Stegostoma tigrinum: one gene and its partner. The protein of the gene in region 2 interacts with the protein of the main gene of each other region in a biochemical or structural test. Links are inferred from orthologs where the notes say so. Each region holds a gene or a part of one and is shown on either strand. Other genes may lie near its edges.

What was found.
Region 1: the proteins of lrrk1 (region 2) and foxp1b form a complex in vitro, tested with the Homo sapiens proteins (2 studies listed by BioGRID and IntAct, with this or other methods). The link is inferred for Stegostoma tigrinum from reciprocal best matches to the Homo sapiens genes LRRK1 and FOXP1.

The regions. Positions count from the first base shown.
Region 1 is NC_081364.1:41,371,887-41,379,984, reverse strand, and holds the start of foxp1b (forkhead box protein P1-B), read right to left. Parts: upstream 3,452-8,098; 5' UTR 3,174-3,451; intron 1-3,173. UniProt on the Homo sapiens protein: Transcriptional repressor. Can act with CTBP1 to synergistically repress transcription but CTPBP1 is not essential. Plays an important role in the specification and differentiation of lung epithelium.
Region 2 is NC_081386.1:1,579,648-1,587,438, forward strand, and holds the start of lrrk1 (leucine-rich repeat serine/threonine-protein kinase 1), read right to left. Parts: upstream 3,352-7,791; 5' UTR 3,252-3,351; intron 1-3,251.

The sequences.
Region 1 (8,098 bases), on a different chromosome or scaffold from region 2:
CACTGTGTACAGTATTGACAGGAGATTGAAGCTTAACCGGTGTTAAGCTTAACTGTCTCTTCATAACTGACTTGTAGATAAACACTAATTGAACCCTGTTCTGTCATCTTAATAAAAGTTCTGCAAAGTCCCTACCATAACTAAATTTTAACTAAGTCCCAATCTGTTCACATGAGTGCTAGCTATCAAAGCATGTTAAGTCTGAAGATAAATAAATCAGGCGTTGCACCAGTCATTTTTTGCAATGCTATATTTTGTACTAGTAAAGTATTGCTTGGTTTTATTCCAGCCATTATTTGACAACTGATAACAAAATTGCACTTCAACAGCACGATCCAACGAAAACCAATCATCAGTGCCTAGATCATGGCTCCTTAACCAAACGAACTACAATGTCGGTTATAAATATGATTTTATCAATAATAATGCAGATTTTTTAAAAACTGTTCATTGCATACAAGTTATATATGCGCCTACACAGACACGCTTAGACGAAATCTCGGTCTAAATAATCATCCCTTATGCCCCAACTTGTTAAGAATGGACTTAGGCAGACTGGATTCTGATGACTCAAATGCTGGGGTGTTTCAAGGTTGAATCTTGTCTTAACACAGAAACTTTCTGAAGTTCCTCTGGACCAGTGGAGGTTTTGGGGTTGGTGTGAAGCAAGTGGTCGCTTCCACTCACATCGTCTCCCTCTTTCTGGTTTTCCAATTGCGTGCGCGGGCGTTTGTTGTGCAGAGAGCCGTCGAGACAGCAACGCCTGTGCTCACGGTTGAAAGCCTCCCGAAGAGCGGACCCTTGACAACCGCCCAGCACGGACTTTGTTTGATATGCACGCCGTTTGACTTTGCTCTTGGGTTGTCAAGGATCGCTTCTCGCCGGGCTGTTTGCTTTAGAGCGATTTTCTCAGACACTGGGTAATCCAAGATGAAGAGTTGTGTGTGTGTGTGTGTGTGTGTGTGTGTGGTGGGGGGGGGGGGGGGGGTTTGAATTCCACTTTTGTGGATTTTTGTCTACTTCTTTGTGGCTTAACATTAAACATCAAAACTCCCACCCTACCGCCAACACAACTTTACAGTCCCTACAACCTTGGAGGGCATGAGAAGTGACCAAAGCTAAATTACAAGAGGTGTTGCAAAAACAGGTCCTAAACGTGGGGGGTGGGGGGCAGAGTGCATGTGTGTGTGCGCGCGCGCGGAAGGACCTTGGTTGACTTTAGCTTTTCCACATTTTTTTTGTCATGAACCTGTCTTTAATAAGAAGCAGTACCTTGCTTTTATCGACGCTGTCCTCTTTAAACACAACCCGCACGACCCCCCACCCGTCCCCGCCAGACACAAAAAACTCATTGTCCGCCCAGCAGCCGCCAAAACTCGGCGAAGTCAAGCGAGCAAACTTTCAGGGGAGCAGGCTAAAAACTGAGTCAGGGATTAGCTGCCGAATAAATATGCGACCCAATGCAAAAATTGTTTTATTTTTGTGTGTGTGTTACTGAAGATCCGCTTTTTTTGAGGGAAAAAGAAACGTGAGATCTGTTCCATTCTGTGTGTGTTTGTGAGAGGGGATCGAGAGCGCTTGTCGCGCGCGAGCAGTTCTGACAGGAAAGTTTTCGCAGGAAAAGATCTGACCAAACACCGGCATTACCATAACAAAAGACTCGGCGGCTACTCGTACAGCCGCAGCTCCAACCTTTCATCAACAAGAAAAAGTTAAACAAACACCAAGTTAACAACAAAGTCGCGGAGGCGCCAGATGCAGCTGGAGTGGGGGTGGGTGGGTGCTGGGCGCAACTCTCCATCTCTGTAAACAATTTGGTATTGGGAAATTTCGGGTTCATGCAGAAAACACCCCACTTCTTTCACCCCTCCGACCCCTTTCTAAGTCACCTCATCCCCACCACTACCACAAGTAGTACCAGCGCTGGACACCTCACCTCATCCTCCCCTAGTACCAGGGACAGTGAGGAGTGGACTTTCCTGTTCCCGTGGGGAAATGTCACCTCCCAGCGAGAGGTGGGGATGGGGGGGGAGAGAAAGGAGGAGGTTGCGCGCTGTGTGTCTCTAACACGTAGAAAAAAAGAGCTGCTACTTGTTTCGGTTACGGAGATTAGGTGGTGGGAGACTTGCTCTCTCTCACGCTGGAGGCCGTGTGAATTACAACTTGCCCGGGTTTAGCAGCAGCGCGCTTCTTGCTCGATCGAACTTTTGAAGGACGTCAGAAATCGGCAGCACCTTGAGCTGTGGGTTTCTTTACTTCCCAGTGTTGGAGCTTCCAGCGGCCCGCCAACTGGAGAAAGTGGCGATGAAGTGTGTTCGGGGCCGCACTGAAAAAGCTGGCGAACAGAGGCCAGACTTCGCACTAAGTTACTGTACTTACCCCCGCCCCAGCAACCACCCTCCACCCCAAACCGATACACTTCTAGTAGAGAAAACTCGGTAGAATGCCGTAGATTGCTTAAACTATGACTACATGATTACCGCGGAGCCTCAATTACCTCCTCCACCTCCCCCCACCCACCCCCGTAACTTCGATGACTTTCTAGGTAACTCGATGCTGACATGCTAACCCTAACCCGTCCAAACTCGCATGAGTCTTTCTGAAAAGTACAGGACGGCGACAAAAAATAAAAGTGACAACTTTCAGGAGTTCCCTTTTCCCTCGTGCGGTTCGCACACTATGTGACTATTTCCCCCTGCACGAATGGTGTGATCCTAGAAGAGAGATCCCTTTCGGTCTCCTCCAGCCTGTCAAGTCTCCGCCGATTTACTCCACGGGAAACAACAGCGAAATTGCAGGAGGAGAAAGAGAAACCTCGCGCAACTCAACTCCCTCAAACTGACCTACTCTTGGTGAATAACCTCACGCTAAAACAAGCCCCGGGGACTCCCACACCTCAGCTTAACACCCCACATCCTCCTCTTCCTCCTCCTCCCCCCCAACAACAACCACCCCAGCAGCAGTTGTGTCTGCGTTGCCAATGCAAATTATTTATCGAAACCCACTTTGACAAACGACAAACATTTTTTTTTCTTCTCTGTAAAACACCCCAAACTGCACGTGGGGCTTTGCAGGAAATTAGAGCCAAGCCAAGCCGAAAGAGTTAAACCTGAAAGCGAGAAGGGCAAGGGGGGAGAGAGAGAGACAGACAGAAGAATGAAATTCAAACTTACCAGTTGGTGCTGCTTTTAGGTTGTTGGGCAACCAGGAGATAATTTGACCCTGCAACACACATGCGATTGTGTACGAGAAAGCATGCAACAAGCACACAATAAATAACAATATATTACTCCGCTCGGGCACTACGTTGTAGAGCAGCCGCTTTCCAAACACACAAAAATCCCTTCAGCACCAACTAGAAAGCGGGGACCGAGCTCAACACTTGATCAGATCTTTCCCTATGCTCCCGCAGCGCTTTCCCCTTCCACTTTTCATTATTCACAATTCTAGCGAACTTAATGAGTTTTTTTTGTTGGAGTAGTGGTTTGTGTGTGTGTGTGGAGGGGGGGTTGGAAGATACAAATCGCGGAGTTGGATGTTGTTATTTTTTGCTGTAAGCTGGCCCCTGACGTCATATCCACCTGCTGTGTAAACAACATGTATCAGAGCTTTTCAGAGAAGGGGAGGGGGGAAGCTGCTGCTTGCTTCAGGATCTCTGCTTGCAGTACAGGGCGGCTACAGCAACTTTGGCGTGAGCACCACAAATAAAGCAGTCACTACAAACCCCCTCCCCGTCCTCTGTCTAATCACCAAAAAAACCTCACCGTCTCTCTCATTTCTGGGCTCTGAAGGAGCAATGAAAGTGATTGTGGAAATGTTGAAAGTGTGTGTGTGAGAGAGAGAGCGCTCCACTCTCTCTCTGTAGCAGACAGCTGCTGGGCCAAGCAGCCCAACCCGACTCCGGGAGACGCAGCGCTGCGCTCCTCTTCCCCCCACCTCGGCTCGGCTCGCTCGGTGCTCTCTGGCCAATGAAGGCAGTTGGGTTCGGGAGGTGAAAGTTCAGCAAGAGGACAACCCTGTCAGGAAGTAGAAATTGTCAATCTGTGGAGTGCCAAACCTACTGTTATCTTACTCCACTGACCAGTTCAAAGCAAAACGAGGACAAGCTGCGAAGTGCCGGTCTGCACGTGTCATTTTTTTTCTCTCTCTGTGTGTCTCTTTCTCATTCAGTCAACACGGCCAGGAGCGTTTACTTATTGTTTAGTCCGAGTAAAATAACAAAATAAAGTTGTTGGTAGGGGGTAAGATGCAGAGGGTAAAGTTTGTAACTTGTAATTTATGTCGTTTCCTATTCACGATTTGTTGTGCACCTTTGTGGTGCCAATATTTGAGCTCTTTGGCGAACGGAGAGGATCCTCTTTGATATGATTGCCTGGGTGTGATCAGCCTTAACTCCACCATAGCGGAGTAGGATAGAGTCCTCTAAACCTTCAGTCTCCTTTCAAGACCCGTCCTCTGATACATTGTGACTCTGCTGACTACTGGAATTGACATATAACTCTTCCCGAAACAATCGAGCACACCAAACTGCGAGATTTTTTCCTTGATAGCCTTATAATAATAACATTAATTACGAACCCGATGGGGCGATTTTTCTTTTCTTGAAAAAATGCTTGCGAATCGGTTCAGTAGTCCAATTAACACTTCCAGAACGTAACATTAATCTGCAATTTAACTGAAATCTTTCTGAAACCTTGCCTGTCCTTGATCAAGGACTGAAATGCAGAGGTATAAATTTATTTATAAATGACGCTTAATTTATTACAGGGACCATCAGAGGCCGTGCTGAAGAGTGGCGGATTTCTCAAGTCTCCGTTCTACTCAGAGATGGATTTGTGCAGATGAAGAGCCTGGAACGCCATCCCCTGGTTACAAAAAAAAAATCGGGAAGCGCCAAGGAGGAAATAATGCACATAGAATGGCAGTATTATTTGAGCGCGTTTCGATGCAGATGAAATGGTACAAAGTTAGGAATATTATAAATATTTCATGCGTGTAGGCGTCATGATTGAAAAGAACAAAAAGTCAGAATTCTTATAATCTAATGATAATATTGTCACATTTAGGTTTCATTCAAATTATACAAGGAATGCTTTTTATTAAAGTTATTACTTTGAATGCAATTATAGAGCCAGTTGAAGCCAATCCACGACGTGTTTATCACATCAAATACCTGGACAACTGTTAAAATCGTGAGTCATGAATCTTCTGGCGAACCCCGCAGATCTTCCCAGCTATGTAAATACTAGCCCATTGTACACCAAATAAACTAAATCCCCTCCTTGTTAACAAGGTGGAAACCGAAAATCGTTGGGATATATCCCCCACCTAACGAATAGCTTCGAATAGCAGAAAGTAACCCAGCTCGTTTGAATTGACTGCACTTTTCCTGAACCCCTTCCGAGCAAATTCCTAACACCGTTTCTGACTGCGATGTCCGTCCCTAAACGCAAAGAATGTGCCGACGGTTCAATCCGATTTCCATCAAATTGTGACCGTCCCTGTACGTTTCGGATAACTGTGTGGAGATTTAGCGGTTCTAAATTCAGCCTGTTGGACTTACCTGGCTGCTGATTTTAATTTGTTGTTGTTTTGAAATGCAAAGCACAAGCACGGAGCGGCAACAAATAACGAGATAATAACAAACAAATTCGGCATGCAAGCTAAATGTTAAACTTTATTGCAAAGTTAATCCAACTATCATTTCTGTGTACTTTATGGGCGTTTCGACTCAAAATCTTTTCTCAAAAAAACACATGCCTGATTTGATAACTGCATTTTCAACTCATTTCATCGTTACATGATGAGACTCTTTTTCAATGATGCCATTAATTCTATATTTAATTTTTTTCTATTCGAAATGAAACTATACCAATTCAGCGTATTTGGTTTTATAGCATTAAGATCAACCGAACATCTGATGGATGGTTTCGCAAATTATATCATATTACATGGAGGGGTTTTCCTCGTACAATAACTGCATTTTTATTTCAAAATCTTAAAATTCCAGTGAAAACTATTTTAAAATCGGACAAATGGGTTTTCGCGATATTTCATTTCCATTGTTCTGGTCTCCATGGTACTTACGGTTGCAAAGTAATTGAGTTTTGTTTCAGCCGCGAATGTTGTAAAGATTTTCTGCAAAGATTAATTCATGTATTAAGCATGCTTGGTGTCCATTCAGTCTTCCACATCTGTAGTATTCTAGAGATGTTAACCATATGGTACGCATCTCCGGGAGTAAATCGTTCGGAATAACCTTGTGCAGTCTGATTTTCCCTGACCCCTCTGGCTCGCTTAATGCTTATACCACTCTTTAAAATGATTATGAAGAATAGCGCTTTATGCCCGGATACATCGCAGGGAGCATTTTAACTTTTCTGAAGGGGTATCGACGATGTTTTGTAAATTAGCGTTAAATTGTTGTGGGTTTTACCTACATGGACGTCCAACTGTATAGCATACGGTTCTTCAAATGGTATCGGTACTCAATCGGGATTGTGAATGTTGACCTCTATAGACTACATCCGTGATTGACGTCCAGAAATGTAGATCTTTTTATAGACACAAGCTCCAGTAGTGGCATACCCTAATTCTATATGTTGTTATTTGTGCTCATACTGTACCTACATAGCCAGGCATCAATTTAGGCTGGTATACGTGGAGTTAGTGTGAGTTGTATGGGCAGTCTGTTATATTGTCAAGCGATGTACTTGTTCTCCACCCCATGCTTACTACATTACATTAATGCTGCACCAAAAATGGTTTAATATTCGGGATGGATTCATTGTTCAAAACTATTCGCTGACGGGAATGATTTTGCTCTTTGGATATACCAGCATGTAGGGAACGTGTTGATGTTGTGGTCATTTATGCAACTCAAGGGAGAGGACCGCGGATAAAGTAACATTTACGGCTGGGCATCTTCCCGAAACATGCACCAACTTAATTTTTTCACCCTTTTATCGACTTGTTTAACGTTTTTGAAAATTTTTTACTCACATTTCATTTGAATTTTCTTACAATCTTACCTTTTAACAATTTACACTTTGAAAAGGTAGTCTCACCAAAGGCTGTAGGTTATGGATCGGCCAGATTGTTTACTTCCTGAATTTCATCTCAGTGGATAACATTACACCATCCCTGATGCTCTGGCAAACAGGGTATGTACAGGACTTTCCTTAAATCTATCCAGGGAAAGTGCCCTTGCAGCTAAAACACTCATGCCCCCATGATGTGTTCATTCGGTCTTGCAACCATTTGAGAGCACAAGAGGGATTAATGACTGCTGGACTACTTAAAAGAGTAGATGTGGAAGCTGGGATTCCTGGGGCCTGGTGAATTAAATTTCTTTACATTTTCTCAAATAAGCAGGATTGCAACCATACAATATAAACTAATATTCCATAACGCTTGATGTTCATGAAAAGCATATTCCTCCAGATTTTTGATTCACCGTATAACCTTTGTTTCTTCCCATATTCTTTCAGTTTTCCTTCATTCCTATCCCAGTACCCTTCCATTGTTTCTTGCTTATTTAGCAGAGGTAAACCAACAATATATAAACAGAATATACATCCTTTCTCCAAATAAAACGTCTCATTGTCTGAAAAGAAACTCATACATATAACAAGTGTTTGACTGTAGGCGTGCCATGATTATATCAATGAAAATCTAGAGATAACAATTTCACAGAACCTAGTAGGGTATTTTCTCTGTGTGGCAATATCATCATTGAATTTGAAAAGAAAATTTCTCCTCACTTAATAAAGTTTGTTCAATGTTTAAAAATAATAATTTCCACATACATATAAAGCAACAATAGAATTTAGAGGCTAACACATTGTAAATTTTGACAGACATCTAAAATGTTGGTAATCAACAATGTAATAATTTATTGTTATTTTTCCTTATCTCTTTTCAGAAGCTAATAGACTTAATGTTACTTCCAATTCTATATTTAACAAAAGTTGAAAAAAATTAGTTTTTTGTCAGTTTCATTATACATCTTTGTTTATATCTTATTACTTTTAAATTTATTTTATTTATAAATTTTATCTTCATTAGTTTCCCTATTGCTTCTTTAATTTGTTAATTT
Region 2 (7,791 bases):
ATAGTCCAAGCCTATTCAGCCTCTCCCTTAGCTCAAACCCTCCAACTCTAACAACATCCTTGTAAATTTTACCTGCAGCAGGGAGACCTGAATTGAACACAGTATTCCAAAAGTGGCCTAACCAATATTCCGTACAGCCGTAACAATACCCCACTGCGAAGCATCTTGTAAGAATGCCTAACCTGAAGAAGTTACCCTCCACCCTCCGAACAAACCTCAGGGGATTTCTCTCCCACTGCAACTCCTCCTCTATCCATCTTCAATCCACCTCCCCCTCTCTGCCTATTTATTTCAGAACCCTCTTCCCCTCCCCCATTTCTGATGAAGGCCCGAAATGTCAGCTTTCCTGGTCCTAAGATGCTGCTTGGCCTGCTGCGTTCATCCAGCTCCGCACCTTGTTAGCTCAATTTCTATACTCAATGCAAGCATGCTAAAAGCCTTCTTCACAATCTTGTGTCCCTGCAACTCCAACTGCAAGGAACTATGTACCTGCACTCCAAAGTACCTTGATTGTTCCCACTAAATGCTCAAGGCACCTTCTCCTCCTTTGAGGTCCTCACACTTCCACCATACCCCTTCCAAAATGTTCACACTCTCCCATTCACTCAAAGGTTCTCTCAAAGACATTCCTTCAATCTTTTTTTCCCCCTTGTTCCCTATACTAAGACACAATTCAGACTGTATGGATTTCGACCTCAATCCACAATATTGCCGTTTCTCTTTGATCTCACTGCCATCCTCTGTCTCTAACTTTCACAGAGTCATGGCCATTCCCTTGTCCTTTCCAGCTTCCCAGCTTCTCCAGTTTCGTTGTCTCGACCACAGAACATTAGTGAGAATTTCTGTTCACTTTCTCGTGCAACCCATGCTCCACTTCCACTTTCTCAAGCAACATCCTTCTGCATTCACCGTGGAAGCAACTTTTTCAAACCCTTAAGCGGCCTATTCACCAGGATATTTCCACTACTGTCCAAGTGCTTAGTTACTTCGCTATCTCCCTATTTAGCAGCAATTCCAGTTGTAAAAAAAATTCTTTATTAGTATTTTCTAATATTGTCCCATCTTTATTCACACAATCAGAAAGGACACAGACTTGAATAGGTCCAACACAGAACTAGTTTAGCAATTCATCATCAGATCTAGCTGGGCCACATCAATCCCTGTGTGGCCATTCACTTATTAACCAGTACCATTATGGAGAACAAAATTAACCCTACTCCTTTTCTGCATTACTATCTCCTCAACTCCATTCTGAGCTCCTTAAATTCCCTCCAGTAAGTCCAAGAGTTCAGCAACTTCTCTGTCACTAAGATTAAGACTATTATTTAGCTGCTTCTAGCCACTCTACTTTTCCCCATTCTTATCTTGATGAAGATTTATGAGGCTATAATTAATCTGACATGTCCCATTTGTGCTAGAGATAAGGTTCACAGCTCCAGAAGTGTGGGCAGTTTAGAGCCACAATCCTCTCAAGTAATAAAAACAGTTGCTAGTTAAAGATAACAAGGTGTAGAGCTGGATGAACACAACAGGCCAGGCAACATCAGAGGAGCAAGAAAGCTGACATTTTGGGTCTGAACCCTTCTTCAGAAATGGGGGAGGGATAGGGGACAATGAAAAAAGAACGAGAGGTGGGGAGGCGATGATGGAAGTTGGATAAAGGAGCAGATAGGTGGAGAGAAGACAGACAGGTCGAGGCAGCAGGGACTGAGCCAGTAAAGTTGAGTGTACGTAGGGATTTGGGATGGGGATTGCTCAGTTGAGGGAGCACAAACAGGTCAAGGAGGCAGGGATGAGGGTTGATCAGTGAGATGGAAGGAGCAAATAGGTGGGAGAAAAGACAGACAAGTCAATGAGGCAGACATGAGCTGAGCTGGTTTTGGAATGAGGTCAGGGGAAGGGAGATGTTGAAGCTCGCGAAGTCCACATTGACTCCATTGAGCCGCAGGGTTCCCAGACTAAATATGAGGTGCAATTCCTGCAGCCTTCGGGGGCATCGTTGTGGTACTGGAGGCGGCCCAGATGGACATGTCGTCCAAGGAATGGGAAGGGGAGTTGAAGCGGTTAGCGACTGGGAGGTGCAGTCATTTGTCATGAACCAAGCCTAGATGTTCCACAAAGCTTTGTCGAACACCTACGCTTAGTTCATGTTGCTGATCCATAGAATTTCTACAGTGGCCTAACAAGTCCACAATGACCCTCAGAGAATCCCACCCAGACTCATTCCCCAAACCCACCTAATCTACACATCCTTGAACACTATGGGCAATTTAGCACGGCCAATCCACTTAGCCTGCACATCTTTGGACTGAGGGAGTAAACTCGAGTACCCAGCTGAGATGTGTGGATATATGGATGTTGGTGAAAACAGACTTGATCACTATCTGTGGTCAGATTCAACTTGTCCTATACTTCCAATATGTACTGTTGTATTTAAGTCAGACTTAGTTCTTGATCTGTAAAGGGGACCAAAGATTACAGGGAGAAGGCTGAAGAATGGATTTGAGAAACATGATCAACTGGTGGAGCTGATTTATGGGGCCAGGTGGCCTAATTTTGCCCCTACATCTTATAGCCAAACACCGGATTGACCTGTGATCTAACCCCCAAATCACTATGAAGAAATTATAAATAACAAGAGTATTAACCAACCCCATAAGCTATTACTGCTAATCATTTCAAGCAAGAACTGGAGAATAGTCTGAATTTAGACCACCAGGTCTGGCCTACATGTGACTCCAGATCCAGGGTCCTGACCTGAAACGTCAACTTCCCTACTGCTCCGATGCTGCCTGGTCTGCCGGGTTCCTCCACCACCACACCGCAGTGTGATTCCGGCATCTGCAGTTCTTGCTATCTCCCTAGTATTGACTCTTAACTGCCCTCTAGGCAATTAGGCATAGGTAATAAATACTGGTATAGCCAGTGACGCCCACGCTCCGTGAATGAATTATATAAAACATAAACAACTGGCGTGAAAATTAAAATGAATTTTCTGGTAACGTATTGATCTCCTGGTTATCCTAAAATTTGAAATTAGCACCTATTTGTCGGGTACTACACAATGTTTTGAAACGTTGTGCATTGAGCAATCTTTCCCAAAACTTTAACCGCAGGTTTACAGCCTGTGAGTCAACGTGAAACAACCTGCTCCTCAGGCAAACTGCTAACAACGGGGGTCTTTACAAAGCAGAGCTTAGTCCGAATCAAGCACTGTCAGAAACCCAACATTAAGCTGCGGCTCCCCTTACCTGCGGAGCCGGAGACACGGCCAGACCGGGAACCTACCGACGGTCCACTTTCTTTTGAGTCACAGATCGCAATGAGGAAGTGAGAAAGAGGATGTGGGTGGAGACACGAGTTCAGGACAGTGCCCAGGGAGGAGTCAGCGTCAGGTTCAGTCCCACCTCCCTCTGCCTTCGCCTATCTCCCTCCCTCAGCGTCCCCACACCCCTCCTCCGACTCTCCCCTCTTCCAGTCTCCACCTTCCACCAATTTACCCCCTCACTCATTAGCTTCTCTCCTCTCTTCCTCTCCATCTTCAACCTTTCTCAGTTTCATTGCCTGCAGAGACTCAAATCCGTCTCTTACAGACTCACCTCCTGATTCTACCATCCGTTGACATTGTCCACCATCGACATCTCACCTCTGTCATCACCTTTCCTGTAATGGAATGACTGTCAAATTCCTCAAAGAGCTGCCCCTGGTGCTGTAATTCTCACTAGCAGCATTTGACATTGGAACGAGCAGATCTACACAGTGCCCATAGACAGTGCCAGGTCTATCACCTCAAACCAGCTGAAAAAGGAATCCCAAGGAAAGTGCTTTGGGAAAATGGGATTCCCAGCTCCCTCAGGTGAGCTCAATGGGACTGTTAATGACCTTAATCTCTTGAACCATCAAAAAGCAACATTACCTTTCCCTAGCATCCCAAACAATTCCTTTGGACAAGCACATCTTTTTGAAAAACAATTTGTCAGGAGATGACTTCCACTTGGCTTTAAAGATTCACTTTTTCTTCAGCATTTGTTTCCAGCCAACAAGGTCAAACTAGAACCTTTTCTCAGTCAATTTCATATCCTTCTCCTCAGGCAGTCCTTCAGAATCGAGAATGACAGCTCTTCCCTCTGCCACAACATGGATTCTGTCCATCAAGACACACTCTGGACATGATCTTCTGTTCTGGTGTTGTGGGTCCTGAAGTAAGTAAAAAGTCCAGTGCTGGATCCACAAAGCCTTTTGTAGTTGGGACAGTGCTGTTTGCTGAAGCTGGTGAATGGATGGCTGAGACACTTAAATCTTTGCACGTTCCTTCCACTGTTTGCCCTTGGCCCCTGTCAGGGTCTGCCTCCTTTGATCTGAAGTGAATTGAAGCAAATCATTTATTGTCACATGTATTCAGTATAAAATACAGTGAAAAGTGTGTACCTTTGCCATGCATAGACACCATTCACATTCATTTGAAATAAAAAGTGAAGAAAGATAACTTAAAGAGAGCCCAACTTTTCCTTCTCTGCTTCACCAGTCCATAGCATGCCGCTTTCAAAATCCCACTCTGGGCTTCCCTGCCATGCCTTACCGCCACCCAAGTCATGCTCCAGGTTTCCCAGCACATGCCATGCCGCTGCCAAAGTCTCACTCCGTACTACACCAGCCTGTGCCGTGCTGCCACCCCCCCACCCCCCCAGGGGCCCACTGCAGGCTTCATAGGCTGGCCGACTCTGTAGACACCTTGATAGTCTTCTGTGATATTAGTTCCTGGTTCCCACACTCTCTTCATCCACTTTTTTTCTTTGTCTTATTCCTTTCTTCCTCTTCTTCTCTCAGTTTTTAGTTTTAGCTCAAACTTACCTGAAGTTTGCCTCTGAAGATGCTGCCTCCGCTCTGGAGCTTATTGAAAATGCCTTCCTACTGAAGAGCTCTCTTTATCAGGTAAGTTTGAGCTAAAACTAAAAACTGAGAAAAGAAGAGGAAGAAAGGAATAAGACAAAGAAAAAAAAGTGGATGAAGAGAGTGTGGGAACCAGGAACTGATATCACAGAAGACTATCAAGGTGCACAAATTCTGGGAAAGAGTAAATTATCAGGTGAGTTGAGAATAAAGAAGAAAGTAATATAGTTTAAGTCAAGGTCAGTAAGCATGTATGGGAACGCATAGAGTGTAGTAAATAGGTTGATAGGCACAGATTGTCATGTGGAAGTTTGGTATTATGGACATATGCAGAGACCTGTCTTAAGGAACATCCAGACTGGGTGTTTAATATTCCTGAATACAAGCTGATCATGAAAGAGAGGAAACTGTGAAAAGGGAAGGTCTGTTGGTATTAATCAAGAAGAGCATTTCAGTGCTGGAAAATGAGAATGTCCCAAAGGGGTCAAGGACAGAATCAATTTGGTTAGAGTTAAGGAACAAAAAAACTGTGCGATTACTTTGCTTTGGTAGTTCTTCTGACTACCAACTAACGGGAAAGTTGCAGCAAAACAAATTCCCAAAGAAATTTTAGAGAGTAGAGGGCTTTAATTGTACAAATATAGACTGGCTAGTAGCAGTGTAGAGGGCAAAGAGGGGAAAGAGAATTCCACTCGTGTTCAGGAGAATTTTCTCCAGTAGAATGTAGACCTGAGTCTGAAGTTTCACTATTAGGTCAAGAGCTTAGAATCAGGACAATTTCCAGGAGGCAGCCGGGATTTTCATTTTGGGGCTTGCAGGTGTTATGCAAGATGGGCTGCATGACAAACACAGAGGCCGGTAAGTGTGGAGTTGGCAGGATCCTCTGAGTTTAGCAATTTGTTGAAGTTTAAAAATATCATAAAACAGCCCTCATGCCCCTCGTAGACCCGTCCCCATCCATGCCAAACCGTGTTCCTAAATTCATCACTGAACCTAACCCCAGAGCTCCACTTACTCTCCATTCCTACCTGTGCCCATAAATGCACTCATGATACTTGAAAGCCTCAATGCTGCTGTACTCAGTCCACACACTTTGTAGCCCCTATGCCAATATAGTGCCAACTCATTGCAACTGATGTGGCGTTAGTTTGTCTAATGCCTAGTTTGTCAGCACGGTATTTTAACTGAAACATAGTATTGAAGAATCTAGCAGATGTTTATTATAACTATTAGGTATAAATATTACATTTCTCAGGCATATATGTGTCAGTGCTAATATTAAGCTATTAGGTTACATCAGAGGAGCATGCTTCTAGTGGAGCGTCATGCTTCAAGTGATCCAAGGTAGATGGAGGATGAGACATTTGTACTCTTGTCATATGCAATGAAACAGTGATGATATCATTAGCAAATCTCTTAAAAACACGCTCCGGCTGCCATGGTGTAATGGTGAGCACGTGGGTTTCTGAACACTGCGATCCGAGTTCAAGTCTGGAGGCAGCCTATATTTCCTGGTCCGGTTAGTGCTCAGCCTCAGGAAGTCATGTTTTAGGGCGGCACGGTGGCTCAGTGGTTAGCACTGCAGCCTCACAGCACCAGGGACGCGGGTTTGATTCCCACCTCGCATGACTGTCTGTGTGGAGTTTGCACATTCTCCCTGTGTCTGCGTGGGTTTCCTCCGGGTGCCCCAGTTTCCTTCCACAGTTCACTGATGTGCAGGCTAGGTGGCTCAGCCATGCTAAATTGTCCGTAGTGTTCAGGGGTGTGTGGGTTATAGGGAGATGGGCCTCGGTGGGATGCTTCAAGTGGCAGTGTGGACTTGTTGGGCCGAAAGGCCTGTTTCCACACTGTAGGGAATTAATCTAAAAAAAATGCTGACATGCTGATTCTGGTATGTAACACAACACCGCCCTTTTCCTAAGACAAAGCAAAATCAAATAGATGAACATGGTTTTACATGAGCATGTGATGACTGCTGCCTGGTAAATTTTGATATATGTTTCAAAACCAACTCCATGATTTCTATGATAATAAAATGTGAGGCTGGATGAACACAGCAGGCCAAGCAGCATCTCAGGAGCACAAAAGCTGACGCTTCGGGCCTAGACCCTTCATCAGAGAGGCTGCGATAGGGTTAGGGTTTCTATGGATTTCTATGGATGAGTCTGCTGAATGTTGAGCTTGCTTTTGCCTGGCGACAGTTGTTTTCATCAATTAATGGGACGGCATGGTGTCGCAGTGTTTAGAACTGCAACCTCACAGTGCAAAGGAACCAGGTTTGATTCCATCCGTCATGTTCAGGGATGTGTAGATTAGGTGGGTTATGTGGGGTGGATCTGGGTGAGATGCTGTGGGGCTCGGTGTGGACTTATTGGGCCGAAGGGCCCGTTTCCACACTGTAGGGAATCTATGATCTATGATCTATGTGTTGTTAATTGAATAATCATATAGACAATGTAAAACAGAGTTTGCAAGACTAACATTTCAGAAAGCAATGTAATGCTTTTGAGGTTTGATAACTAGTCCTGATCTGGTGATCGTGTCTGCAACTGGAGACATACTTGTTGTTTTCTGTTAGACATTTTTGAAAACTTGGTTGTCTTGCTGTTCATTGCTATCATTCTACATATTATCATCAGAGTGTTCTTCCTCGTTCTCTTCAACTATGGTCAGTGATTTGTACATTGGCCTGAGCTGACTTCTGTTCCTTCACAATATAGCACCATGATCAGTAAATGACTTTATATGATCTGACCTGTTTGTACATATTAGAAAGTTTTGCCTATATCCAAGTATTTGGATTTGTATTTCTAATTCACTTTCTCTTCCAGTGCACGGTCTTGTTAATTCTCTACTTGCTCGGTCGTTGTGTAGCACTTTCATTCTCCTCTCATTTTGAAG